Sus scrofa: one gene and its partners. The protein of the gene in region 2 interacts with the protein of the main gene of each other region in a pairwise test. Links are inferred from orthologs where the notes say so. Each region holds a gene or a part of one and is shown on either strand. Other genes may lie near its edges. The genes, in order: DGCR14, VIM, KIAA0408, MRPL44, SMARCB1, PPL and FABP4.

Region 1 (3,987 bases), on a different chromosome or scaffold from region 2:
TGACCCCTCCTCTCCCTCACCCACCAAACCCAGGCCAACAGCAGGTTGATTTTCTCCAAAAACAATCCCAGAATCCATCTTCTTTCCAGGTTCCAGGTTGATTTTCTCCAAAAACAATCCCAGAATCCATCTTCTTTCCAGGCTCCAACCTGGTGAAAACCACTGTCATCTCTCACCTTGACCACTGCAGCCTCCTCCAGCTTGTCTGCCTGCATCACTCTGATTCCTCTGTGATTCATTCTCCGTAAAAGCCAGGGTACAAGTCCGAACCTGTCCCCCTCCTGCCTACAGCACTCCAAGGGCTTCCACTGCTCCCAGAACAAAGACAAAACAAGGTTGCCTTGACCCATGACTCTTGACTTACCTGCAGCCTGGCCCTGCCCCTCTGGCATCAGCTCCTACCCCACTGTTCCTTGCACTCTGTGTATGCAAAGGTCTTCTCCCTCTGGCCTTCAAACAAGCTCTCCCCCTCCACCTGGTCAATGCCTGCAACCACTCCCTTCCCTGGAAACTTCCCCTGACTGCCCCCCAGGTAGGATTCTGCTCTCTTGCACTTGACCGTGCCATTTTATGCCTGTTTGTGGGATGATCTGACTAGTGTCTGTCGTCTGCATTTGACTCCAGCTTTATGAGGGCAGGAACCAATACCATGGAGACACTACTCCATGACAGAATAACTGCCTATACTGAATCATTCTGGGGCAGAACTTGTTTGGTGTAATTCACAACCTCCTTTTGGAAGAAATGATGGTTCGGGAAAATGCTCAGGCAATTTTCTGGTCCACTTCGATAAGAATTAGCTGTCTTCTTGGAAGCCAACTGTAGCATTTAGGGACTAGACATTTCTCGCATAAAGATTGAATAAAAACTTTGAAACGCGTATATAACGAAGTTTTCTGAAGAGTGTGTCTTTGTTAAAAAAATAGAAGTATATGTAGTGCTTATTTGCGAGAAATTGGAATTCCAAGGCTTCCAAATATTCGGCGCTGGAATTTTTCACAATTAGCGGAAACGACACGCCCTTTAGTCTCACCACCGCAGCGCCCCCTGGCACCCACGACCCACAAGGCATGAACAGAGCGGGGCGGGGCGAGGAATACGAACCCAAAGGGTCCCGGTGACGTCAGTAAGGAGCGCCGGCCGGTCTTCGGAAACACGCGGCTCTCCGATTGGTCAGCAGTTTCAGGCGCCTGCGCAGCTGGCGCGCCCCACCTCCGCCGGTGTCGCCTCTGCGCCGCCGGGGCGGTGCTGGGATAGTGATGGAGACGCCTGGGCCGCCGGCCCGGACCCTGATGCTTCCTGCCGCGTCCCGGCCTCGGAGGAAGCGCGCAGCCGGGGAGGCCGGGCCTGCAACAAGCAGGCAGCGGGTGCTGGACGAGGAGGAGTACATCGAGGTAGGACTCGGCGCGGACGACAGTGACGTCTGGGCCCGTCCCGCGTTCCCCCTGTCCCGCGACACTCTCGTCTCCTCGCGGCGGTGGAGCAGTCCGAGCCTCTGCTGTCGAGCGTGGACGGTCTGAGAGCCAAACAAACAGCGTGTAGAGCGAGGTGTCCCTGCTGTCAGGGGGCAGTGGGGGTTGAGTGTGTCTGTACGAGGTTGCGGGTGGGCGTCAGAGAAACAAGTTTTTATTAAACGGTCATTAGGAATTTAGGAGGATGGTGACAGAACTTCCTGGAGGGCGATAATAACAAGTGCTAAGGCTGAGGGTTCTAGAAACGGTGGCATCGTGGCATCGCTGCGTCGGTGGGCCTCCCACCTTTGAAGTAGGCCTTGATCCTGCCGAAAACAACGCAGGAGAAGCTGGCACAGGGTTTGGAGGAAGTCAGTTAAGTGTAGGGGAGTCCTCTGCAATGCGGAGGCAGGTGGCTTTAGGGAACACCTGGATGCACGGACTTATAGCTCAGGATCAAGTCTGTCTGGAGCTGCAGAGGTGGGAATCTCAACCAGTGCTGGTGGTGGGGTGACTGGCTGAAGTCATCCTGGTAAAGGGTTCAGATCAGAATAGAGGGTGTGGGAGTTCCCGACCTGGCTCAGAAGTTAACAAATCTGACTAGCATCCTCATGCAGGTTCTATCCCCGGCCTTGCTTAGTGGTTTAAGGATCTGGTGTTGCTGTGAGCTGTGGTGTAGGTTGCAGATGAGGCTCAGATCCTGTGTTGCTGTGGTGCAGGCCAGCAGCTACAGCTCCCATTGGACCCCCGGCTGGGAACCTCCACATGCCCATGGGTTCAGCCCTAAAAAACAAAACAAACAAACAAAAAAGGAAGTAGTGGTTTTGGTGGAATGAAGGTGGCAACACGCACATTGATCAGGCTGATGTGGAGGTGGAGTTAAGAAAGGAGAGCGAAGGAGTTCCCGTCGTGGCGCAGTGGTTAACGAATCCGACTAGGAATCATGAGGTTGCGGGTTCGATCCCTGCCCTTGCTCAGTGGGTTAACGATCCGGCGTTGCCTTGAGCTGTGATGTAGGTTGCAGACGTGGCTCGGGTCCTGAATTGCTGTGGCTCTGGCGTAGGCTGGCAGCTACAGCTCCGATTCGACCCCTAGCCTGGGAACCTCCATATGCCTTGGGAGCGGCCCAAGAAATAGCAAAAAGACAAAAAAAAAAAAAAAAAAAAAAAAAAAAAAAAAAGAAAGGAGAGCAAGAATGATGGGTTAGAGAGTTTCCCTTGTCGTGAAGCAGAAACGAATCCCACTAGTATCCATGATGATGTAGATTTGAGCCCTGGTCTTGCTCAGGGGGTCGAGGGTCTGGTGTTGCTGTGAGTTGTGGTGTAGGTTGCAGACTTGGCTTGGATCCTGTGTTGCTGTGCCTGAGGCATAGGCCAGCAGCTGTAGCTCCGATTCGACCCCTAGCCTGGGAACTTCTGTGTGCCTCAGGTGCGGCACTAAAAAGCAAACAAATAAATAAACAAGAATGATAGGTTAGTGAGGGAGAGAGAAAGCTTTAAAAGTGTCCCCAAGCTTTGGGGATCATTGGGCTGGACAGAACTTGGGAGCCTCAGTATGCACTTTAAGGGCTGAAAGGCAGATGGAACCTCTGACTTGTGTTCTGATCACTCCTTCAGGGCCTCCAGACGGTCATCCAGAGGGATTTCTTCCCTGACGTGGAGAAGCTGCAGGCGCAGAAGGAGTACTTGGAGGCAGAGGAGAATGGAGACTTGGAGCGCATGCGCCAGATCGCCATCAAGTTTGGCTCTGCCCTGGGCAAGATGTCTAGAGAGCCTCCACCGCCCTGTAAGAGGACTCCCTTGGGGGCGGGGAGGGGACTCCCACTGAACTGTTGCCTCAGGGCCCCTTTCTTTATTCCCACCCCGACTTTCCCCAGATGTGACTCCAGCCACGTTTGAAACCCCTGAGGTGCACACAGGCAGTGGAGTGGTAGGCAGTAAGGCCCGGGGCCGGGGCCGCGGCCTGGAGGATGGCACTGGTGAGTGTGTGTTCTTTTTTTTTTTTTGTCTTTTTGCTATTTCTTGGGCCGCTCCCTCGGCATATGGAGGTTCCCAGGCTAGCGGTCCAATCGGAGCTGTAGCTGCCAGCCTACACCAGAGCCACAGCAACGTGCAATCCAAGCTGCATCTGCGACCCACACCACAGCTCATGGCAATGCTGGATTGTTAACCCACTGAGCAAGGGCAGGGATCGAACCTGCAACCTCATGGTTCCTAGTTGGATTCGTTAACCACTGCGCCACGATGGGAACTCCATGTGTGTTCTTTTTGCTTGGGGCCTTCACCTTGGGGGCCCAGTGGTGTCCACAGGCAGACCACACCTTGTCCTTGAGGGTCTCTTTGCCTTAGTGGCACCCATAGGGTTTGGGAGCTACGGTCTAGGAAGCAGAAGATCTGGGTCCCGCTCCAAAAGTAGGGAATCCTCTGAGCCTCTGCCCCACCTCCACTCCCCACCACGAATGGGAACCTTGAGTTCCCTCTTGGTGGCCTTCTCACTGTGTCAGCCCTGTTGGTGGGCTTATGGGCCTTGGAGGGCT
Region 2 (3,935 bases):
AGCTAGCTTGACTTTGGCAAACCGAAGTCTGAATCAAACTGTAACTGTTCGAGATCAGAGTATCAGTGTGTTGCAGAACCGAAACGGGAAAAAAAAAGTCATGTCTTGGGGGAAAAAAATCTTGAAACAAAGTCAAAAAGACTTTATTCACGTCCTATGGAAGGAACGGTTTAATCGTTCGAGGGTTTTTAAGGCGGAGAAGCTCCCAACTGTGGTCTTTCTGCCACTAGGGGGCTTGGCGAGCAGACGAGAAGTTTTGCACGATTTAGACTTGGGTTAAGTAACTTTGAGAACTGCCCGTAGGTTGGGTGGGTGGGGTCGGGTGGCTGCAAGTGGGAAGAGAATCTACAAACCTGTCTGAAAGACTGCAAAGTGCTCTCGGCTTCCTCCCTCTGAAGCGTCTCCTCCTGCAACCTGAAAGAGATGCACATCAACCGAAGGGGAACTGGGAAACCGCCAGGGGCGTGGCGACCACACCCAACCACCACGTCTTCGCCGCGAGACAGCCGAGTTGCTGCGCCACCTCTGTGGCAGTCGGCGACTATGGCTTTTAGAACTGCTGCCTTTGGCAAATCTCAAAGGGACCCTGGCCGCTGCGTAAAAAGCAATCGCAGTTGCTACAATGACCTGGGAGGCGAATGCCACCACCCCACTCCCCCGTGAAGATTCTGCAATCCCTTTGTCTCGCTTCCTACACCGCTCCTGGGGAAAGAGCAGCCCGTCAGAGGGGACCAGGAAACTTTCTCAAAGTTTGGGGGAATCGCACTGATCGTTTGCAGGAGCCTTCGAGTAACAACAAAGTGGTAGTTTTAAGAAATCTGAATTTTGGTCGTTCTTGGGCAATGAGTCGGGGTAGAGGGTAAATGCTAACTTGCAAGATCTGGGTTCAGGGCAGGGCTGCGCCGCAGCAGCCACAGCGCTCTCCCCCCGCCCACCGCGTACCCCAGGCAGCCACCGCCCCAGCCACATCCCCAAGGGCGTGTTAGCTTCGGTTCCCCTCTGCCGCCCTCCTGAAGCCCCGCGGGCGCTTAGTCTTACTTCTCCCGCAGCCGCATGATGTCCTCGGCCAGATTGTCGCGCTCCACCTCGACGCGGGCCTTGTCGTTGGTGAGCTGGTCCACCTGCCGGCGCAGCTCTCGCATCTCCTCCTCGTAGAGGTCCCCCAGGCGCGACTTGCCCTGGCCCTTGAGTTGCTCGAGCTCGGCTAGCAGAATCTTGTTCTGCTGCTCCAGGAAGCGCACCTTGTCGATGTAGTTGGCGAAGCGGTCATTCAGCTCCTGCAGCTCCACCTTCTCGTTGGTGCGGGTGTTCTTGAACTCGGTGTTGATGGCGTCGGCCAGCGAGAAGTCCACCGCGTCCTGCAGCAGCCGCACGCCGGGCACACTGCTCCGCAGGCGCACGGCCGAGGAGCGCGTGGCGTACACGCCGCCCGGGGACGAGGTGTAGAGGCTGCGGCTGGTGCTGGGACGCAGCGCGCTGCCCAGGCTGTAGGTACGGGTGGACGTGGTCACGTAGCTCCGGCTGGAGCTCGGCCGGCTAGCGGTGCCAGGGCCGCCGAACATTCTGCGGTAGGAGGACGAGGACACGGTCCTGGTGGACATGGCTGCAGAGGTGGCAGTGGGCTGGGCGGCTGCGGTGGCGCGGACTGGCTCCGGGAGGAGAGGCGAGCGAGGGAGCGGTGGGTGTGGGCAAAGGGAGCGCTGCTGCGTCTCTGGCGCGGGGACCCCGGAGCAAGAGTGGCAGAGGACGGGACCCCGCCGAGGGCGCAGTTTTTATAACCGCCTTAGGATGGAGCGTTCCCTCCCACTGCCATCCCGGCGGCGGAGTGCGCCAGCCAATGGGGACCCGGCGAGAGGCGGGAAGGCTGGCCTGGGGTTTGGGGCGGGGGAGCCCGGGAGCCTCCCTCCTCCCCCCTCCTCCGCAACCGGGACTATGCTCAGTCCCCCAGTAACTTGGAGGCTGAACTGGAACTTTTGGGGCTTTCCTGAGGATGGCCTGAGGTGTGCTCACCTCTGGGTGATGAAAAAGGCTGGGTCCCGCGGTGATGGGGGAGCCCTCCCTAGACTGAACCACAAGGGTCCCGGGCACCCAGCCAGCTAGGGAGGCGTAGGAGGAAGCGTGCGGGTGGGAGGGGCGCGCGGCCCCTTGGCTGCGGTCGCCTGGAAGCGCGAGGGTGGGGGGGCCCCGCGGGTAAAGGAGCCGGAAGAGAGGAGTGAGGGATCCAGCAGATCGGAAGGCGTGGAGAAAGAAACAAAGAGGGCCTGAGATTGGAGCGCGAGGTGGGGGCGCGCACAGCCCGGGGCGCAGGGCTCTGGGCTCTGCGCAGCCTTGCGCACGCCTGCTTGGACAGCGGGACCAATCCGGCCCCAACTTTCCTCGTCCTCCTGTAGTAGGAGTTCCTGTTCAGGGACCTAACCGGCTGGGCCCGGCTTTGGACAAGGAGCTGCAAGGAAGTGGCCAAGGAAAGCCCAGGGGAGATGGGTGGGGTCGCTGAGTCACCACTGGCAGTGAGTCACTGCGCTCTGCTGTCCCGCCACCGAGGTTGAGGAGTCCTAGCGGTTCAGGAAAACCGTTAGACGAGATTGACTTTCGTCTCCCCGGGCCACTGTGCGAGTACTGTTGGTTCTAAGTTTTACCCAACTTCGAGCTGGGCTCTGCTTTCTTATGTGCCGTTCGCTGGTTTGGAGTCTAGAGCGCTCCTAAATTCTTAGGAACGCGCCCAATCCAGATTTTGCTCCAATATGCTGGCTTCTCTTTAGTAAGAAACTTCCGCGGAGGCTCTGTAACCGCCAAACGCCGGTCTCCGGCCTCACAAAGGCACTTGGGGAGGGTTTTTCTTGCAAAGTTTCCTCCCGCCTCCCCTCCGGTCTCCTCTCCGCCTTCCTCCACCCCCTCCCCCCGTAAAACCGCACCCGACTTTTAACAAGATCTGAACGTTTCTGGGTGAAAGAGGAAACTCTGTAGTTGCAAAATCCAATTGAGTGATCACTGCTTTTTCTGCTGTAGTGAGAGACATTAAAGATATAATCTACACCAATTATAGAATTAAGTAGATGTTGCTTTAAATGTTTAATTTGATTAATAAAAGGCAGTTATGTAACTCAAGGGACTGAATGTTTGAGACTAGATTTATGTGTTCATTTTAGTTCACGCATGATGCACAGCGCAGGATTCTGGTGACTTGTCTGAGAAATGTCACAGGTCCCTTAGCCTATTTTCCAGAAGAATTCCTGCAATTCATCTTGGAGTGAGGGGGATAAAGCTGTCTACAGAAGGAGAAAACTTTTGGTCCAGGGCACAAGGGCGTGTTCAGATTCCAACCTGAAAATCTTTCTAGGTAAATCACTCAACTGAAGGGGTTTTGTTGGGAATGAGTAAAGCGCAGAACAGAGAAGAGAGTCTGTCAGTGATTTCGTAGCAATTTAAAAATCACAGGTTTTCGTCGTTATTGTTGTGGTGTTTCAGTGTTTAGAAGAGTTGAGTATTGAACGGATTAACTCCAAAATCACTGCAAAAGTAGAAACATCTTGATTCAGTGGTGGATGTGGAGGGAGATAAAATTCTTCCCTCTGCTTTTGTGTTTTTGTTTTGGAAAGGGGGGCCCTGAAGGTTGCCTGGCATTTAAGAAAAAATAGTTCAGAACCAAATGAAGGGTTTATTTTCACTTCTTTGTACAAGCCTCTTTTAGGCAGTGTTTTGTTTACCTCCTTTCAGTTCGTTCTGGCCGGTGGGGCTGCCAAGGTCGCGCTGCAGGACCCCTTGCTGTACCGCTCCCCCGCTGTGGATTGCCTTAATTCTCTCCCCGCTCTGCGGGTCCCTCCCGAGGCGCATTCCTGGGGTGTGGCGTCCTAGCGGGCCCACTTATGCTCTGAGAGCCCTTTATGCGAGCTCCGCTCTGCAAATGTCACTATTGTGAGTTTGCCTGGAACCCTTCG
Region 3 (4,208 bases), on a different chromosome or scaffold from region 2:
TAGTGATGACCATGATTTTTCTCTTTTTATATTCTTTTCTCTGTTTGTTTCTAGGATGTAATATTGTCCTAATGTTTTATTTGCTAGCGTTAAATGATTTGAAGAAAATGTACAGCATCTACTCCTCTCTCTGTGTTTCTCCCTCTCTCTGTGTGTCTCATTAAATCTTAATTATAAGAAACAGGAATTATTTTTGCAGGTGTCCTTTTTTGGTTGTTTTCCTGATTTACGTAAAAATAATCTCCCATCTTTTCCCCTTCTTTTTCCCAAACGAGGAGGACAATGAAGATTTGAAATGCCAGCTGCAGTTTGTGAAGGAAGAAGCTGCTTTGATGAGAAAGAAAATGGCCAAGATTGATAAAGAAAAAGACAGATTCGAACACGAGCTCCAGAAGTACAGATCCTTTTACGGGGATCTAGACAGTCCTTTACCCAAAGGAGAAGCAGGGGGACCGCCCAGCACCAGGGAGGCTGAGCTCAAGCTACGGCTGAGGCTGGTGGAGGAAGAAGCCAACATCCTGGGCAGAAAAATCGTCGAACTGGAGGTGGAGAACAGAGGCTTGAAGGCAGAGCTGGACGACCTGAGGGGCGATGACTTCAATGGCTCGGCCAACCCTCTCATGAGGGAGCAGAGCGAATCGCTCTCGGAGCTGCGGCAGCACCTGCAGCTGGTGGAAGACGAGACGGAGTTGTTGCGGAGGAACGTGGCTGACCTGGAGGAGCAGAACAAGCGCATCACCGCGGAGCTCAACAAGTACAAGTACAAGTCCGGCAGCCACGAAAGCTCACGGCACCATGACAACGCCAAGACTGAGGCCCTACAGGAGGAGCTGAAGGCTGCGCGCCTGCAGATCAACGAGCTCAGTGGCAAGGTCATGCAGCTGCAGTATGAGAACCGTGTGCTTATGTCCAACATGCAGCGCTACGACCTGGCCTCACACCTGGGCATCCGCGGCAGCCCCCGCGACAGTGACGCCGAAAGTGACGCGGGCAAGAAGGAGAGCGATGATGACTCCCGGCCACCACACCGCAAGCGCGAAGGGCCCATAGGCGGCGAGAGTGACTCGGAGGAGGTGCGCAACATCCGCTGCCTCACGCCCACCCGCTCCTTCTACCCAGCGCCGGGGCCCTGGCCCAAGAGCTTCTCAGACCGGCAGCAGATGAAGGACATACGCTCAGAGGCCGAGCGCCTGGGCAAGACCATCGACCGGCTCATCGCTGACACCAGCACCATCATCACCGAGGCACGCATCTACGTGGCCAACGGGGACCTGTTCGGACTGATGGACGAGGAGGACGATGGCAGCCGCATCCGCGAGCACGAGCTGCTCTACCGCATCAACGCTCAGATGAAGGCCTTCCGCAAGGAGCTGCAGACCTTCATCGACCGCCTGGAGGTGCCCAAGTCCGCGGACGACCAGGGCGCCGAGGAGCCCATATCCGTGAGTCAGGTACAGTTCTGCCTATTGCGAGCCACGGCGATGGCGAGGCTGGTCCATGGAGCCGCGGTCCCAGGTGGGGCGACTCCACGCACCGACCTCCACGCCCCGCTTTAGGGAAGTCCCAGCTCAGAGCCTCTCTGGGCTTGGAAGCCCCACAGCGCACTTGTTCTTTCACACTGTCCTTCTTCAGGCCTGAGGTTTTCGTAAGTCAATTACTTAGTAGTAACTCTTCATCCTCTGTTTTGTTTCAAAGGGAAATTTAACCCCCACTTCGTTTTTGTGTAAAGAGGAAAGGACTAAGATAGATATTATTGAAGGTTAGCATTTGCAGTATTAACTCTACTGATTCTAACAGATTGAGCTGCAAGAAGATCCCGAATAGAAATGTTCAATTGCTAATCTGTGGTTTTCGAGCCAAGATTCAAATAATTTGTAAATCAGTAAATGATCAGGGTTGATGCATAGCTATTGGCAAAAATGTGGAAACCAGCGGTAAAGAGAGATCATACTGTGTCTGGAGCCCTACCAAGAGAAGCAAATAGCAGCCGCTGCTGTATCATAAGTTGAAGTAAAGTGATCTTTATTTCTAAAGGAAATCACTGTCAGCTCTGTAGCGGAGAATCTCAGGACTGGGGAAGAAGTGTTATACTTTAGCTTTAAGGCAACACTAATTCCAAGAAATAGTAATAACTATTCCCGAACAGGGAAAACCAGCATTTTTCCTTCATCCTAATTTGTAGAGGCACACCTGATGAATTGGACTGATCTCTTCTAGCCAGGTATGGTGACCAAAGACCACTGCACTTTGTCAGAGTTAACCACATAAGAGAGCTTATAAAACCAACAGGCAGTGCTCCCCCTCTGGCAAGCCTGGTATCTTGTATCCATTGAGAACCCACAGAAGTACAACAGGTTGCATGGCTTTTAAGACACGCAAGAGGTTTAAATTTAGAAATCAGTTTATACACAGAAGCATGACATTGGATTAACTGCCTATTAGGCACAACTAGAAAAATTGCCACTCTATCGCTTATTTATCTTGCATGCTGCTTTGCTTTGCTCTTACAAAAAAAAGTTTTGTGATAAAATGTGTTGAATTTTGAAATGTTAAAGATCTCTTTCTCTGTGTTTTATATCAGATAATTGTTTTTTAGTTTCCTGACTGAAGATTTTTGAATACCTTGAGCATGTGGTTTTTCAATTTTGCCCTCAGGGGAAGAAATCAAAATCAGAGTGAGAGAAAGTATTGTGTATAGTAGTAGCCTTCAGATCTTGTAAATATATGTTGGGGAGGGTTCTTTATCTTAAATTGAATGAATGCTGAGGTTAGTTGATATAAGTTTAAGTTTTAAAAATTATTATTAATTAATTCTTCTCTTTGTCTTTGCATTTACCTTCCCAGATGTTCCAGCCTATCATTTTACTTATTCTCATTCTTGTATTATTTTCATCACTTTCTTACACAACGATATTTAAACTCGTCTTCCTTTTTACACTGTTTTTTGTACTGTAAATCTTTCATCATTTACCATTCATTGTAGTATTTCAGTTTGTTTGTTTTGTTCACCCTTCAAGACAAGAAGTAAAAGAAGTATAATTTCTGTAGTAACCAATGCTATAAAAACACTGAAGACTGCTTATTTCTTTAAAAAGACACATCTTACCCCTACCGAATTCAATAAGAAGCCCAAGCGTTAAAGATTTCAGGTAAGGGAGTAAGTATGACTTCTCTTTTTATAAATCATTTTAGCTTTTCCCTCTTTCTTTTGTATCTTGATTTCTCCTGTTCTTGATAAGTAGCTGTATGAATGACTGTAAAAATTGCCTAAGTCTCTCAATTATTTTTCAGTAGTTGACTATTATGGTCTTTCAAAAGCTGGACATTCACAAGTTGATCACGTTTTAGAAAATAATATAGATTTAAAAGTACCTTTGCTGAGTTGCATCAGACTAACAAGGTAATTTTTATATCCAGTAATTATCAATGAAAATTATGGTGAACAAATGAAATGTGACCATCATGGAACCTGAACAATTTATTGCTGTGTTGATGGCGGTCTATCCAAACAGATGTGTTTGGAAGCATGAGAGTGGGTTAGGCCTTAGTTCACTGAGAAATTAATTATCCTTATCCTACTGTATTTGACTAGCTTCGACCATTCCAACCAAACTAGCATTTCTGCATTTAGCTATTATACTTTTTTTTTTTTTTTGTCTTTTTGCCATTTCTTGGGCCGCTCCCTTGGCATATGGAGGTTCCCAGACTAGGGGTCGAATCAGAGCTGTAGCTGCCAGCCTACACCAGAGCCACAGCAATGTGGGATCCGAACCACTTCTGCAACCTACACCACAGCTCATGGCAACGCCAGATCCTTAACCCACAGAGTGAGGCCAGGGATCGAACCCGAATCCTCGTGGACACTAGTTGGCTTTGTTACCCGCTGAGCTACAACAGAAATCCCCCCCTTTTTGGGAAATATTTTGAGTGGGGGAAAAAACAGTCATTCTTTAGAACTTCATTAAATCACAGTCTAAAACCAGTAGCATAGTTCCAGTGGGAGTTGCTCTCTATACATAAACTTACTTTGGTGACCTTCAGCATTGCTCTTTTTCCTTCTACTTAAAGTGACCTGGATAGGTTGCATGTACCCAAAAGGCCCTATTCTGTCCATCTCTTTGGCAGTTTATATATGGAAAGCTGGACTGTACCAATGCCACCAAGATTTAGAAATACTAGCATTCAGAGTTCCTGTCGTGGCGCAGTGG
Region 4 (4,117 bases), on a different chromosome or scaffold from region 2:
GTTTTTGTGACCTGAAGTGACTGCCTGACTATCCATTATGTAAGAATTCAAAAACTCATGTTTTCATCCAAAAGCAAAGGATAAAACATCTTCCAGCTAACAAATTCTAAAACAACAGTGGAATTAAGCCATACTAATTATTTAAATATTTTAATTAGCTAAACTACTGGCTAACAACAAGCTAGGTATATGTCACAGGCATCAGAAATCCAAGATTTTATCACTTAAAAGAGCAGAACAAGAGCCAGTATTTAAGCATGGTGCTCCCTAACCACACTTGGCCCTCCAATAGTGTCCTTCACTCATTCATCAGACTTCTACTGAGCATCTACGGGTAGGCACTACCCTTGTACTCATGGATATAAAACTAAAGACATGGCTTGCAGTCCTTATAACTCACAACCCAAAATTCAATATTCACCTCTGATGCTGTCCTCAGTAAGAGACAACTGGAAAAATTAAGACACTACCATAATAAAAAAGCTTTAGGTCTTTCTCAGTTTGGGTAGGGAGAACATTTCACAGGTAACCTGCCAAGAAATTCAGGATAAAAGACAACTTTTCTTTCTGTCCACCTCAAGCACATCCCAGCACCTGCAATTAGGAGGTCCCAGCACCAATCACTTACCCTGATGAAAAGTGCAGTCCTCTCTGGTCCACTGCTCTGTAACAGGGCTCCAATCACTGCAAAGAAAGTCTGCCTTAACACAGGCGGGGGAACAGGAAACTCTGCACTCAGCGCTAACTGCTCCACAGCCAGGTTTCTAGCCACATGACACACAACTTCCTCACTGGTGAGAAAGTCAACTAGACTTGTAACGCCTTCAGTGGGCAAGTCTGGGAAGGCGTCCTCAAAAAATTGTGTGAGGCAAGTTTGTGAAAAAGATATCCCTTGTTCAGATAGTTCTTGATTATCTTTAAGGTTCAGAAGAGCAGCTTCTTTGTCTATTCCAAGTTTTTGGCGTTTGGCCTCCTCACTTTTAATATAGCAGCTATTAACAAATGCAGTTTTGAGAAGATCTAGGGAAAAGGTTTCCTGTAACCGATGGCCAAATGCTTGTATTTCAGCATGGTAATCCCAGTTGGGCTTCTCTGAACTGAAAATGTAAAACAGAAGACAGAAAAAGTAGGTAAAGAGAACAAGATGCTATTATGACGCAAACATTTTTCACTGTGATGCAATTTTATTCATTATATAAAGGAAATTTTAAAAGACTGACTTTCATTTTAATTCCAGACTCTGATTTTCTGAAAATTAAAACTCAAGTCCGAAGATTATTTGTGGTTCTTTGCCGGATTAATTTTCCCTAAATCAACCGCCACATCGAAACGGTTTTTCAGTATCAAAGACTAAAACATTATCCTAACTTTTGGGTTCTTTATTTCTGCTCTAACCACAGACCTACTTTATACTTAGACATGAAATACAAAGTATAATTTCATAGGTTCAAGCCATAAACAGTAAGCACATTTTATTTACCCAGTATTTTACTGATTTAAGTTTTGATAGCATCCATTTAAATGAGCAATTAAATAAACTAGTATCAATATTATAAGTATGTTAAAAGTTCATAATCATTCTCAAGAGTGACTAAAAGGTCTTAAAGAAAACTCTTTTAAGTAAAAAATGGCAACAAACTATAAAGATCTGGATTATAAATCAAAATGTATATAATCTGTAAAGTTTCTTCCAACTCCAAAAGCCTAATCTCAACAATAATCAAAGAAATGCGAACTAAGAAACACTATTTTGTTATTCTTTTTAGGAAAAGAACTTAGTATTTTGTTTTTGAAAGAACTTTTAAAGAGTACAGAACTATGATCACATATATTCCTAAATTAGGTATGTAAACCAGATCAACTTTTTTTAGAGGGGAGGGCAATATTAAAGTACCTATCAAAATTTCATACTAAATTTCCAAAGGAGTAATAACTTCAAAGCTATTCACTGTTACATCAGTGGTGACAGCAGTAACATGGAATTCGAACACCCATAAATGGAGCCATAAAAGAGTGAGGTTCATTTACCTATACGACCACAACTACGTGTCAGAGATACATTATTAAAGAGAAAAAGATGCAAAACCTCATGTCTAATAGGATCTTTTGGGGGGGCGGGGGGGGGTAGCTATAAAGATCTGCATCTCTTTCTACGAGAACTTCTACTACTGGAGCAAGGTTAATCAAGGCAAAAACCAGACGTCAAACCGTTTTCCTTTTACTCTGGACAGTGGACTTGTGACTGTACACTTAATCTTTTTCCTTGCCCCAAATCCCGAAGAAGTCTCAGGCAAGACAAAACAGGGGCCACAGCACCCAAGCCCAGATGAAGGTGACCCAGCCGGCCTTATTTCTCGTAACTCTCACTTGACAGGATTCTAAGTGGGAGCTCCGAAGTGTCGGAACCCCTCGGCAGAAATCCATTCCCTTGCCTCGGGCCACTCATGTCCGTCCCGCGGGTGCCTCCACCGCACAAACTCCTCGTCGCCAGCCAGGGGCGCACTAACGACGAGCAACCCGCGCCGCCGCCCGGCCGAGGCCGCAGAGGAGACCTCGCCGGGTCCTCGACAGCCACCCTGACCCCTTCCCTAGACGACTCCTACCGGCGCACGGGCGGCGGAGGGCACCTGAGGAGGCGCCACCGCTCCAACTCCTTCTGGAAGCGGTAGGCGGCGCGGAAGCCCTTCTTTGCTCCCCGAACTGGCGGGGCGAGAGTCGGGGCGGCCGGTGCCAGGAGGCGGCGAGGTCCCCACTGCAGCAGCCTCACCAGCCCGGATGCCATCGCAGGGGAGAGAGCAATGGAGGGCGGAAGGAAAAGAGCCGGATCAGTGTCCCCGGTAACACCGTCCCCCCCGGAACTGGTGGTGGAAAGCGAAGGTGGAGCGGAGCCAGAGCGGGGCAGCAGACAGCCGAGGCTGTTTTACTGCGCATGCACACTCTGTGGGGTTGGTTTGTTTGCTCACCTGGTTTTTACTCTGGTGAACTTGGTTTGAGGTCCGTTTGGATCCAGAAATTTCTCGAAGTTGCTTCGTTTTGTTGGTTGCTCTCGTTCCTTCCTTTCATTAATGTAAAACAGAAGAACAGATTCACGTTTAAAGAAAACACATTCTCACTTATCAGACACAACTTAGAATAGATTTACAAGGAGATCCTGCTGAATAGTATTGAGAACTATGTCTAGATACTCATGTTGCAATAGAACAAAGAGTGGGGGAAAAAACGCAATTGTAATGTATACATGTAAGGATAACCTGACCCCCTTGTTGTACAGTGGGAAAATAAAAAAAAAAAAAAAAAAGAAAAGAAAAAGAAAACACATTCTCAAAAGGGAGGAAACACTTCTTAGCAACATATTATTTAGAGTTCCAGACCATCAAGCGAAACACTGTTTATGTGCAAATATTTACCTGGCATATCTCCAAAAGCCTTTCTTTCAAGAGACCTAGAATAAGAGATACTGACTTACCCAAATTAAAATTGTTACTTAAAAAAAAAATCTAACAGTACCAGTTTTTATTAATCAAAGAAAGGAAGTGGGATGGACTGGAAATTTGGGGTTAATAGATGCAAACTATTGCCTTTGGAATGGATAAGCAATGAGATCCTGCTGTATAGCCCTGAGAACTATATCTAGTCACTTATGATAGAGCATGATAATGTGAGAAAAAGGAATGTGTATGTGTGACTGGGTCACCTCGCTGTACAGTAGAAAATTGACAGAACACTGTAAACCAGCTATAATGGGGGGAAAAATCATTGGATTAAAAAAAAAATAGGAGTTCCCATCATGGCACAGCGGAAACGAATCAGACTAGGAACCATGAGGTTCTGGGTTTGATTCCTGGCCTCGCCCAGTGGGTTAAGGATCTGGCTTGCTGTGAGCTGTGGTTTAGGTCACAGATGAGGCTTGGATCCAGCATTGCCGTGGCTGTAGTGTAGGCTGGCGGCTGTAATTCCAATTAGACCCCTAGCCTGGAAACCTCCATATCTATGGGTGTAGCCCTAAAAAGACAAAAGACCAATAAATAAATAAAATAAATAAATAAATAAATAACAGTGGACTTATAGGTCTTTTTTCTTTCATTCTATAGCAATATGATTATATTGCTTTCCCACT
Region 5 (3,500 bases), on a different chromosome or scaffold from region 2:
AGAACCCAATATAATGTGTCCATAAAAATGCAGGTTTGATTCCTAGCCTCATTCAGTGGGTTAAGGATCCCAAGTCACTGTGGCTGTGGCTGTGGCCAGCAGCTGCAGCTCTGATTCAACCTCTAGCCCAGGAACTTCCATATGCCGCAGATGCAGCCCTAAAAAGAAAACAAAAGCAAAAACAAAAAGTGAGATTTATTCTGACAATGCAAGGATGGCTCAATAAGAAAACTGATCAGTGTAATAATATACCACATGAACAGAATGAAAGACAAAAATCACATGATCATCTCAACTGATGCAGAAAAAAGTATTTGACAAAATTCAACATGCTTTCATGATAAAAGTACTCACCAACTAAGAACAGATAGAGACTATATCAACATAATAAAGTCAATACATGAAAAAGCGCATAGCAAAAAAGAAAAGAAAAAAGTCATAGTAAATATCATACTTAATGGTGAAAGGCTAAGGACTTTTAAGATCAGGAACTAGCCAAGGAAACCTACTCTTGCCACTTCTATTCAACACAGCATTGGAATTTCTAGCCAGAGCAATTAGGCAAGAAAAAGAAATAAAAGATATCTACTTGGAAAGGAAGAAGTCCTCTGTTCTCAGATGTTATGATCTTATATGCAAAACACCCTAAAGATGCTATTAAATAAACTGTTAGGACTAATAAGCAAACTCAGCAAAGTAGGAGGATACAAAGTTAACACGCAAAAGTCAGCTGCATTTCTCTGCACTAACAATAAACAATCTGAAAAGGAAATTAAGAAAAAATTCCAATTACAATAGCATCAAGAAGAATAAAATACTAAGAAATTAACTTAACCAACAAGATGAAAGACTTGTATAATGAAAACTGTAAAACACGCTGAAAGACATTAAAGATATAATTCATATGGAATCTAATGACAAAGGATGTCCAGCCAAAACAATGATGAAAAAAAGAACAAAGTTGGAAGACTCACACTTCCTAATTTCAAAACTTATTGCTAAACTGTAATAATCAGGAGATCCCCTTGTGGCTCAGCGGTAAAGAACCTGATTAGTAACCATGAGGACATGGGTTTGATCTCTGGCCTCACTCAGTGGGTTAAAGATCTGGCACTGCTGTGAGCTGTGGTGTAGGTCGCAGAAGTGGCTCAGATCCTACGTTGCTGTGGCTGTGGCACAGGCCAGTGGCTACAGCTCTGATTCGACCCCTAGCTTGGGAACTTCCATATGTTGCAGGTGTGGCCAGAAAAAAAAAAAAAAAAGACAAAAAAATTAAAATAAACTGCAGTAATCAAAACTGTGGTACTAACATAAAAATAGACACACAAACCAATGGAACAGACAACCCAGAAATAACCCCCAAATATGTGGTCAAACAATTTTCAACAAAGGTGCCAAGATTATTCAAAGGAGAAGAGACAGTGTTTTCAACAAATGGTTTTGGATAAGCAAGATATATATATGCAAAAGAATGAATTTGGACCCTTACCTGATAGCATACACAAAATTAACTCAAACTGTATAGAATATATAAATGTAAGAGCTAAAACTATAAAACTCTTAGGAAAAAACATAGAGGAAAAGCTTTATGACATTTAATTTGGCAATAAATTCTCAGATATGACACCAAAGGCAGAGGCAATAAATGAGAAAATAGACAAATTGGACTTCAACAAAATCGAAAACTTCTCTGCATCAAAGGACACTATCAACACAATAAAAAGGCAAGCACAGCATGCAAGAAAATATTTGCAAATCACATATCTGATAAGTGACTGGTATCTAGAACATATAAGAAAGTGGTAAAACAAAACACACCTGATTCAAAAAGGTCAAAGGACCTTAAGCAGACAGAAGATAAACAAATGGCTGATTAGCACATGAGAAGATAGTCAAAGTCACTAATCAACAGGGCAATGCAAATCAAAACCACAAAGATATATGCTTCACACCAAGCAGGCTCTGCCGAGGACAGGCCTGGGTCCAAATCCCAGCTCTAAGACTTCTCAGTGGAGAAGCTGGGACAGGTGACCTGCCTGACCTCTCTAGGTGCCCACCTCCTCACCTGTAATACAGAATCTTCCCCCAGGATGGCAGCAGATTACTGAGACAGTATGGAGTGTGCTGACTCAGCCTGCCCACAGGAAGAGGGTACTCATCCTACTGTGGGCTTCCCTGCTCTACCTATCATCTAGCCTCATCTCCTTTGTACCACTGGGCTCTGCACCATGCCTGGCAATGTCACACAGCACCCCCTGAATGTGATATCTTATTCAGAAGTCAGCCCATGCCCTTCCCGGGATAAGAGTGTTGCCTGAAAGACAGCTTTTCAGAAGTCCCATCCCACAGCGTGGACCCCAGACAAGCTCTGTCAAGGCCTCCAAGTACCTTCAATGCCTCATGAACTCCGCACTTGTCCCGCCCCACATTCTGCAGGATAAGGAAGCCCCAGTGCAGGGCAGGAAGCTGCCTACCTTGATAATGACCCGCTGGTCTGACTGGTCCTCCAGGATGCTGTCTGTGGGGTAGGACTCAATTTGCTGTCTGATGGCAGAGGCGATGGCTGGTACAAATGTCAGCGGGTTCAAATCCAGGTCATCACAGAGAATTTCTGAAAACATCTCAGGGGTCATCAGCTTCTCTGCAATGAGGAGGTAGGGACTGCCATTGGATTGCAGGGCCTCATCTCATCGCTCTGGGCCCTGATCTCCCTTACCCCTTCCTCCTCTGCCAAACCTCCCGGATGAAGATGAGGATGAAGAGAAGGAAAAGGTTAAGGGGAGGAAAGAGACGAGCACCCCCTCTGGCCCTCATTCCACACACATCCCCACACACACCTCTGGGAGGTGTCAAGACCCTAAGCGCTCCCCCATACCAGGCCCCCCTTGCTCCCAGGCTTAAGACCACACAGCTCCATTAGTTCTACCAGTGAGATGTCTGGGGAGAGGGTACACAAGGGCACTTCAGAGCTGAAATACCATGTCCTCCCTCTTCTGACTCAGGCAACCAGGAAGGTCCACAGGGAGAAGATAGCCTCAGAGGAAACCAACGCTACCAACACCTTGATCTCAGACTTCCAGCCTCCAGAACCCAGGGGAAATCAAACCTGGTGTTATACCCCCAGCCTCTGGTACTTTGTCATAGCAGCCTGAGCTAACACAGGTTCCTTCTGAAAAAGCCACTGTGAGGCCAGCATCCCATGCACAAGTAGGTGTGTGTCCACTCACCATTTCCTCCCCAGTAGAGAAATCTCTCAGAGATAATGTCAGGCTGCCTGTGGATTTTTACAGATCTTCGGGCAGTTTCTGACTCTGTGGGCAGCTCATGCACTCAACCAGGTGACAGCAAGGAGATGTGTACAGCTCCTGAGAATGTAACTGCACCAAGGGCAAGCTTCACGGGGATGGCTACAATTGGCCAGACCTCAGCAAGGTCCTGTGTGGTCAAGTGTTCTCGCCCCACCTAGCCTCTTCTCACAGCCTCAAACCTCGAGGACCACA
Region 6 (3,500 bases), on a different chromosome or scaffold from region 2:
ATAGGGTCTTTGCAGCTGTAATTGGTTAAGCATCTCAAGAGGAAATCATCCTGGATTTAGGGTGGGCTTGAAAGAAGATGACACACGGTGAGAAGGCCTCGTGAGGACACAGAAGCAGGTGGAGGAGAAATCCAGCTCCAGTCTAAGGAAGGCCAGGCACGGCCAGCAGCCCCCAGGAGCAAGAAGGGAGACGAGGAAGGATGCACCCCCAGAGCCTCAGAGGGTACAAGCCTGCTCACACCTTGATTTCGAACGTCTGGCCTCCAGAACCGTGAGAGAATAACATTCCATTGTTTAAAGCCACCCAAAGCCTCTGAGAGAGAATGGCTATGTGGACGTGTGTGGCTGGGCCACTTTGTTGTACAGCAGAAAAAATCACAGCCTTGGCAGTTAACTATACTTCAGTATAACTTAAAAAAAATACATAAACAAACCCATCTAGTTTGTGGTCATTTGTTACAGCAGGGATAAGAAGCTAATACAGCCCTCCCATGGGCTTCAGGAGTCTGGGAGGGCATCAAACGAATGAAAGGGGGCAGGGTCAGACAGAACAAGAGGAGACGGGAAAATGGAAAGGCAGATGGACAGGCGTACTCAGGAGGTTAGTCTCCCACCTTGAGGACTGCTCGAATGCAGGCAGCCCACAGCAGAGGCCACCCTGAGGCCAGCCTGGAAGAGGCGTCCCCTTCCAGGACTCACGCACCTCAATGGAGTTCCTCCCCGGGTGCTCGGCGGCAAGCAGCTGCTCCCCCTCGCTGTGCAGCTTGTTGATTCTCTCCTCTTTGGCTTCCAGGTTCCGGTTGATGAAATTCTGCAGCGGGGGCAGTGCAGGGGTTCAGCGCCCAGTCCGGCAGCCCGTGGTCCCTGCAGGCCCCGCGCCCCAGAACCCAGTGTCTACCTCGTACTGGCGCCGGCGGCTGGGGTAGTCAAGGTTGCGGTCACTCCAGTCATACTGCATGCGGCCCTGTGCCTGCTGGTCCAGCCAGTACAGCTCGTTGGTGCAGCGCTGCATGTAGTCCTGCAGCGAGCTCAGGTGCTGCTGCCGCGCCTGCGACGCCGCCTGCAGGCAGGGTGAGGATGGGGCTGCAGCAGGCGGGGAAGAGCCTCCCTGCTCACTCCCTGCCCAGCCCAGCCCCCCCACTAAACCCCTTCCCCCGCTCAGCAAATGTTTATTGAGCATCTACTGAGTGCTGGGCATGGCTCCGGGCACTGCAGACACTGTAGTGAGCAAAACAGATGAAACCCTTACGGAACTGGCATTTTTGAGAAGTCTCAGTTTACTCGTCTGCAAAATGGGGATAATGACAGCTCTGAGCCCACAGGGCACTAAGCTTGGCATGCAGTTGGTGCTCAATAAACATCAGCAGCTATGCCTCCACTTTTGCCTTTAACATGTCCTGACATAAGGCGGATGGTGCCAAACTCCCACAGGGCAGGGAGGCGGGGGAGGAGGAGGGATGTGTGAGTTCCACTCTGCAAACAGGAACAGCAGCGAACACGTATAGGGAGCCCGCTACGTGCCAGACTGTGCTTCTTCCGCATTAACTCACGCAGTCCTCATGCACGCTGTGAGCCAGGGACTTGAAGTAATATCGTTTTACAGAGGAGGAAACTGAGGCTCCCAGAGGCTAAGGAGGTTGCGCTCAAGGCCTCCACCAGAAGGAATGGAGGCAGCCTGGCTCCAGGGCCTCTGATGGCTACACTGTTACCGCCTCTGCATGTTCACGTCCACAGCAAGAAAGCATCTATGCGAGAGGAGATGAGACGAGTCGCTGCTGTCATGGTTTTTTAAAAAAAGGACATTCTTTAAACGTTTTGAAAGGGAAACAAAATGTTTGCTTATTAAGCACATGGCATCATACTTGGCATACAGTAGGTGCTCAATAAAGAATAAGACGCAAACGGTAACATTGTAAATCAATTATAATTTTTAAAATGCATAACAAAAACATATATAGGGAGTTCCTGTCTTGGCTCAGCACTTAACAAACCTGACTAGTATCTATGAGGACAGGGGTTCAATCCCTGGCATGGCTGGGTGGGTTAAGGATCCAGTGTTGCTGTGGCCAGCAGCTGTAGTTCCAATTTGATCCCTAGCCTGGGAACTTCTATATGCCACGGGTATGGCCCTAAAAAGACAAAAAAAAAAAAAAAAAAAAAAAGAATGTGTATATATATATATATAAATATGTGTGTGTGTGTATGTGTGTGTGGCAGAAATGGGCACAATATTGTAAATTAACTACACTTTAATAATTTTAGAAAGCACACACAAAAAAGAAGCAAACAGTAGGATGGGGGTCCCTTGGGGTTTTGGGAGCACAAGGCGAGCAGGGGCGCCTCTCAGGTAGGGCTCGGGGTACTGTCTCTTCTGCCTTCAGCGCCCTCTGTCTGTTTGAAATGTTTACTGCACACGCTTCTGACCCCACAGCCGGGCGTCCCATCCCCTCTCATCCTGTTCCCCAGGGCATCTCACCAGTAGCTTCTGGTACTTGGCCTGCAGTTCGCTGTTCGGCTCCTGGGGACGGAGCAGGGGGCCAGGGTTAGGGTGGGGGAACGGGTGGGAGCCCCTCGTCCCAGCGGGGCCCTCCACCCCCATGCACACACCTTGCCCCCGTCCTTGGCCAGGTGGGGCCCGATGGCCTTGACCTCATTGTGGAAAATGTTATGCTGCTCCACCTGGTGGTCCACCAGCGGCAGGTCCGTCCCGAAGCTCTGGCTGCTTAGCTTGTCCTGGCCGGCGGGCAGAGAGACAGCACGGGGGTGGGGGGGGGGGGGGGAAGGTATGGGCTGGGGCTCAGGACACGCAGCCCGCCGGGGAGGGGGAGTCTCTCGCTAAGAGCCACATCAGTGGCCGAGCTTCTCCATGGTGGAGATGGGCTGGCAAGGAAACAGGAAGGGCAGCAGCCAGCCCAAAATCTGGCCCCTGGCTCCAGCCTGGCAGGACCCAAACGATCCCGGGAGGGCCCCAATCTCCACTACTTCTGCTCTGTGACCTTGGGCTAGGTGCTGCACCTCTCTGAGCCTTGCTCATGTCATGGACACAAATATTAAGAAACACTGAGAACATGACTCCCTCCCTGGCTGGACTGTGACACCGCTTAAACAGTGGGGGTCTCCTGGCCCACGCATGCCCTCCACCAGCTGAAGCCCAGGCCGTACCAGCTTTTCCTCCACCAGGGCCTCCCAGTTGACCTGCGGGTCCACCTCCTTCACCGCCAGGCTGTAGATCTGCTTGTGTTTCCCGCGGAGGTTGGTCACACGCTCCTTCAGCTGACGGATGCTGAGCAGGGAGAGCGGCCACCCAGGTTAGTGGGGCTGGTTGGTGGGGAGACTGGCCTCTCCCTGAGGTGGTACCTCCCACCCCAGCCCCCGGCCTCATCTTTCTGCGCAGTGACCTGGAAAGTCAGGGTCACGGTGGCCTTGGGCTCCGGGCAGTCACTCCCACCCTGCTTTTGTGCACTTTGCTTCATCCTGCCTTCTCCTGCCAATGTTTCCTG
Region 7 (4,239 bases), on a different chromosome or scaffold from region 2:
AGCCACCTTCCTGGTGGCAAAGCCCACTCCTACAGTTGGGAAAAGAAAAAGATCAAGTTTACAATTTTCTCTCACATCTTTATCTAAGAAGGAATGCGTGTATGTGTGTGTGTGTGTGTGTGTGTGTGTGTGTGTGTGTGTAGATGGATGCACATGTGCATAAAAGGAGAAAGACTTCAAGAGTTCCCCTGTGGCTCAGCAGGTTAAGAATCTGGTGTTGTCACCACTGTGGCACCAGTTCAGTCCCAGGCCCAAGAGTTTCTACATATCACAGGTGAGACTAAAAAACAAAAACAAAAAAACCCCCAAAAAATGGGGGAGGGGGAGAAAGTCTCCTGAGAGTTTCTTAAATGTCTTATTTAAACATCTTCTGCAGGTAAATAAAGTAGGCTAATACTTAAAGAACACTTGAAGCATGATACGATGTAAGTCCATTCTTTAAATTTCCCCCTCAGGGTTTCAGAAACAACTTCTTAGGAGATTCATTGTTACTTTTGAACAAGAATATGTACAAAGATTCTCCTGGAACATATGTTTCAAAAGCCACTACACTCTCAATTAACTGGCCATCTCAACAATGAGGGCAACCACTTGTCACTCAGCTCATGACACACTTGGGCCACATTGACCTTGGATTCTTAGTTAACAAAAATGATCTAATCCTGAGTCAAGGAAAGAATTCTCAGTAGTATTTTGGGGGCCTGATATAGAATTACTCAATTAAAAATGAATCTGTTGGGGTATCCAAAAATCCCATTTCATGGCATTTTCTGCCAAGTCTAGTTTTCTTGGCTTTTTCCAAATTACATGCAATGAAGATTTTGATTAATTTTCCCAAAACCATTTCCAAACAATATTTCCTACATTCATTACACTTTAGAATGATAAGGTTGTTCCCAATAAATTATAGAAAATATTAATGAGGACTTAGGCATCGATTGTGAAAACTTTAAAATTTAAGAAATTACTGTTGTAGTAAGTTTAGAAATTAATCCTTTGATTCCCAATCACTTAAATGGAAAACTCTTCTATTTAAAAGAAGAGGAATGTATTTTGCATGTGTGACAGGCATGGGATGAATAATTTACAGCCCATCACAGAGAGCACTACCTTGCTGACACTGCATATGTTATACAAAATTTATGATTGTCATAAATGTGTTGGATTAAAAAAGAAAACATGTGCACAAATCTAAGTTGCTTCTTTGACTAAAGGCTACTAATAGATACCAAAGTTTAGAAATAGAAGGGTCAAGGAGGGGAATATTGTGCAGAACAAGCCATGGCAGCTCTGATTTAGCTCCTTGTCTGAAAATGGGAACAGGTAGAAAGATAATATGTTGCTTCATCAAGCCCTGGCTCTTCTACAAAATAAGACATCAAAGACAGAATGAATCAGCGTCGTGAATGGATGCAGAGTGGAGTGTGATTCCAGATGGGACGAGCTGAGAAAAATCGTACTTTCCGCTTTTTTGCTTCTGTCCTCATCTGGCTGATGAAGGCAATATCTGCTTACCATAGGCAATCAATTAAACCAGCTAATTTCAAGACATAACTTTTTGTCTTTCATTATCATTAACACTTTATCATTTTAAAACAGCATGGTCTAAAATTTATATATAAATACTAACAGTGTAAAATGTTTCTAAAAATCAGCAGTTAAATAATCTCAGATCCTGGCATATCTGTATCAGTACATGTTAATTTGTTTATTGAATTACAACTAGTTGTTATTTTAGAAAGCTTGGTCTCATTCATGCCAAAGTCCCTGATTACCCTCTTGCCTATAAACAAGAAAAACAGTAGTTACAGACAAAAAAAATACACCATAAGGTTTAGAAGAAGCTTAACTCTTGAGATTTAGGGAGTATGCCATAACCCTTAAAGATATTGTGAAAAAAAGTCCCTCCCCAGTTTTCAGCCCCTGGATACACCTTGTTCACGATGAGGGTGGCTACCAGAGTGACAGATATCTCACCTCTCCCTTGCTTTGCTTCTGTCACTATCGGGGAACACACAAACAATGTCAACAGAGTCTCAAAACCCGAAAGCCTCCATTATCAACAATACTATGCCATCTCATGTAATTTTTAGTCAAATACTTCAGATCTTTAAGGAACATATTTTCTGAAATTAAGATTTTGTTCTCCCCTTAGATAGCCACACACTTTAATAGATTGACCTTAAAACAATCAAATAATTGGTTAACATATGTTACTCAAAAAATTACATTAAGATGACAGATACAATGCTTTCAGTTTCCAGTGGAAAATACTGCATGCTAAGAAGTAAATATAGTTTTATTTCCAAGTTACTGCTTAGTTTATATGCAAAAGGAATGAAAGAACAAGAAGCAAAGAGCCAAGTAAGCCAAAGATACCCAGGTTTAGCAATCAAATAAAATCTTGTCATTTCTGCACATTATAACAATTCATTTATATCCTTTTTCATATCAGTTCACCTTTAAGAAGCATTAGTTGTGACTTTGGTCTAGAATGTTTCTAGAAACAAGTGATTCTCAGTTGTTACTTTATAGTCTCTATACAAAAAGCAGTACTTCATGTCTGGCTGGTGCTTCCAGAGTGAAAAACAGCCATAAATTACTCTTCCCCAGAGAAAAACTTGTAAATCCAGCTATCCCATAATGTATTTCCTTACCCACTTCTTTCATGTAATCATCAAAGTTTTCACTGGAGACAAGTTTCCAGGTACCTACAAATGCATCACACATTTTGTGAGCACTCTAGGATTATTCTTCAAGGTGAGAAAGAAGCCGTAACCTTCAGGAAGGTGCAATGACTCTCTTCAGTCCAGATAACTTCCTTTTAAAGATGCCCAGAACATGTGATCTTAGGAGTAACCAATTAGGAACAATATCATATCATTTCCACCATTACTAGCCTCTGCAGTTTTTCTTCTGAGTCATGTTTTTAATAGAAATTTCTCAACTTTGGTTCTCCCTGGCAACGGGTCATTGGACTTAGAGTACAACTTATTTTTAGCCGTTAAGAAAATATTTTAAACATTTTCGTTCTGACCATTTAGTGTTCGGCGCATTGAATTTCCTCCTATTATTTTCATACATATTTATCCCAGTGTGGAGTAGAGCAGGCTTATTATCATGGGGTAAATTTTGACTCCCTTTTCTGAAGTCTTTATTAAAATTACAATTGTGTGGTTCGTTAGAATTGAGGAATGTAAGAATTACCTTGAATATTAAGTTATTTGCAGAGGCTTTGGGGAACAGTTTTATCTTAAGAATTACCTGGCAATTAAAACAAAATGAGTAATGGCATTTCAAAGTAACCGAAGCTTCTCATTTCAAATATTTGGGATGGATTTAAAAAAAAAAAGAGTAAATCCAATTATCCACTGTGATCTGGACAGTAGATTTAATTAATAATGATAATTAAACCTCAATGAGAGGATGATGTTGCTTTTCACGGACCCCTTAAAAAAATAGACCCCAGTCCAAAACATACTTCCCATACTGAGAAAATTCATCCAATTCCTGAACTATATCATAAGCTCTAAATTTATCCAGAGCTCAATGGTGTTGCTTTCCTTAAAAATAATCAGAAGTGGTTTGGTCACAAGCCATCAAAATCTAATTTCTTTCTCTCACATGGTGAAGTATTCCTGAGGATGCTTTTCTAAAATAATTATGTATTTCAGCCCCCTCCCCCACTTCCTTCCCTGTACCAGAATGATGGGAGATATTCACATAAATGTACCCAAATTTCAGGAAAGAAAAAAAACAAATTAAAATATTACAGAGTGGTGAATCTCTACACCATGTATTCAACTGAGCAGTATCTGCATCAAAGAATTGATTTGTCAGTATCCTGAAATCTTCCCAGAAATATTTGAGACAGAGCCTTCTGTAAACCACAGGATTTTCTGGAGGAAAGCAAGTTGCTATGAAAAATTGATAAAGTCATGTTACAATAGTAATTTTAAGTGTTGCATATGTTAATGGCACAGTAACATATGTTTGCTCACTCAGGACTGTTGCTTAGAGATATAGACTGTGGGTGGTGTACGTTTCCCCATGGGCTTTTGTTATTATATATTCATTGAACAAGAAAATAAAAATGGGGAGTTCCCATTACGGTTCAACAGTAACAAACCTGACTAGTAACCATGAGGACTCATGTTTGATCCCTGGCCTCACTCAGTTGCTTAAGAATCCGGTGTTGCCAGGAGCCGGGGTGTAGGTCACAGACACGGCTCGGACCCC

The links.
Region 1: the proteins of VIM (region 2) and DGCR14 interact in a two-hybrid assay, tested with the Homo sapiens proteins (2 studies listed by BioGRID and IntAct). The link is inferred for Sus scrofa from reciprocal best matches to the Homo sapiens genes VIM and ESS2.
Region 3: the proteins of VIM (region 2) and KIAA0408 interact in binary tests that used the Homo sapiens proteins (3 or more experiments, as listed by UniProt). The link is inferred for Sus scrofa from reciprocal best matches to the Homo sapiens genes VIM and KIAA0408.
Region 4: the proteins of VIM (region 2) and MRPL44 interact in a two-hybrid assay, tested with the Homo sapiens proteins (2 studies listed by BioGRID and IntAct). The link is inferred for Sus scrofa from reciprocal best matches to the Homo sapiens genes VIM and MRPL44.
Region 5: the proteins of VIM (region 2) and SMARCB1 interact in binary tests that used the Homo sapiens proteins (3 or more experiments, as listed by UniProt). The link is inferred for Sus scrofa from reciprocal best matches to the Homo sapiens genes VIM and SMARCB1.
Region 6: the proteins of VIM (region 2) and PPL interact in binary tests that used the Homo sapiens proteins (3 or more experiments, as listed by UniProt). The link is inferred for Sus scrofa from reciprocal best matches to the Homo sapiens genes VIM and PPL.
Region 7: the proteins of VIM (region 2) and FABP4 interact in a two-hybrid assay, tested with the Homo sapiens proteins (2 studies listed by BioGRID and IntAct). The link is inferred for Sus scrofa from reciprocal best matches to the Homo sapiens genes VIM and FABP4.

Annotation. Positions count from the first base shown.
Region 1 is NC_010456.5:50,953,219-50,957,205, reverse strand, and holds the start of DGCR14 (protein DGCR14), read left to right. Parts: upstream 1-1,187; 5' UTR 1,188-1,259; coding exon 1,260-1,394; intron 1,395-3,067; coding exon 3,068-3,236; intron 3,237-3,327; coding exon 3,328-3,429; intron 3,430-3,987. UniProt on the Homo sapiens protein: May be involved in pre-mRNA splicing.
Region 2 is NC_010452.4:43,515,306-43,519,240, reverse strand, and holds the start of VIM (vimentin), read right to left. Parts: upstream 2,801-3,935; 5' UTR 1,602-2,800; coding exon 1,039-1,601; intron 415-1,038; coding exon 354-414; intron 1-353. UniProt on the Homo sapiens protein: Vimentins are class-III intermediate filaments found in various non-epithelial cells, especially mesenchymal cells. Vimentin is attached to the nucleus, endoplasmic reticulum, and mitochondria, either laterally or terminally.
Region 3 is NC_010443.5:35,741,352-35,745,559, forward strand, and holds the start of KIAA0408 (uncharacterized protein KIAA0408 homolog), read left to right. Parts: upstream 1-1,451; 5' UTR 1,452-2,844; coding exon of another isoform or gene 2,845-2,955; 5' UTR 2,956-3,149; intron 3,150-4,208. Other genes in the region: protein SOGA3, read left to right, coding at 276-1,451, 2,845-2,955.
Region 4 is NC_010457.5:125,731,102-125,735,218, reverse strand, and holds the start of MRPL44 (39S ribosomal protein L44, mitochondrial), read right to left. Parts: upstream 2,801-4,117; 5' UTR 2,783-2,800; coding exon 2,604-2,782; intron 1,098-2,603; coding exon 629-1,097; intron 1-628. UniProt on the Homo sapiens protein: Component of the 39S subunit of mitochondrial ribosome. May have a function in the assembly/stability of nascent mitochondrial polypeptides exiting the ribosome.
Region 5 is NC_010456.5:49,882,044-49,885,543, forward strand, and holds part of SMARCB1 (SWI/SNF-related matrix-associated actin-dependent regulator of chromatin subfamily B member 1), read right to left. Parts: intron 2,642-3,500; coding exon 2,475-2,641; intron 1-2,474.
Region 6 is NC_010445.4:37,491,487-37,494,986, reverse strand, and holds part of PPL (periplakin), read right to left. Parts: intron 3,284-3,500; coding exon 3,163-3,283; intron 2,734-3,162; coding exon 2,608-2,733; intron 2,519-2,607; coding exon 2,477-2,518; intron 1,061-2,476; coding exon 899-1,060; intron 812-898; coding exon 704-811; intron 1-703. UniProt on the Homo sapiens protein: Component of the cornified envelope of keratinocytes. May link the cornified envelope to desmosomes and intermediate filaments. May act as a localization signal in PKB/AKT-mediated signaling.
Region 7 is NC_010446.5:55,094,961-55,099,199, reverse strand, and holds the start of FABP4 (fatty acid-binding protein, adipocyte), read right to left. Parts: upstream 2,801-4,239; 5' UTR 2,731-2,800; coding exon 2,658-2,730; intron 30-2,657; coding exon 1-29.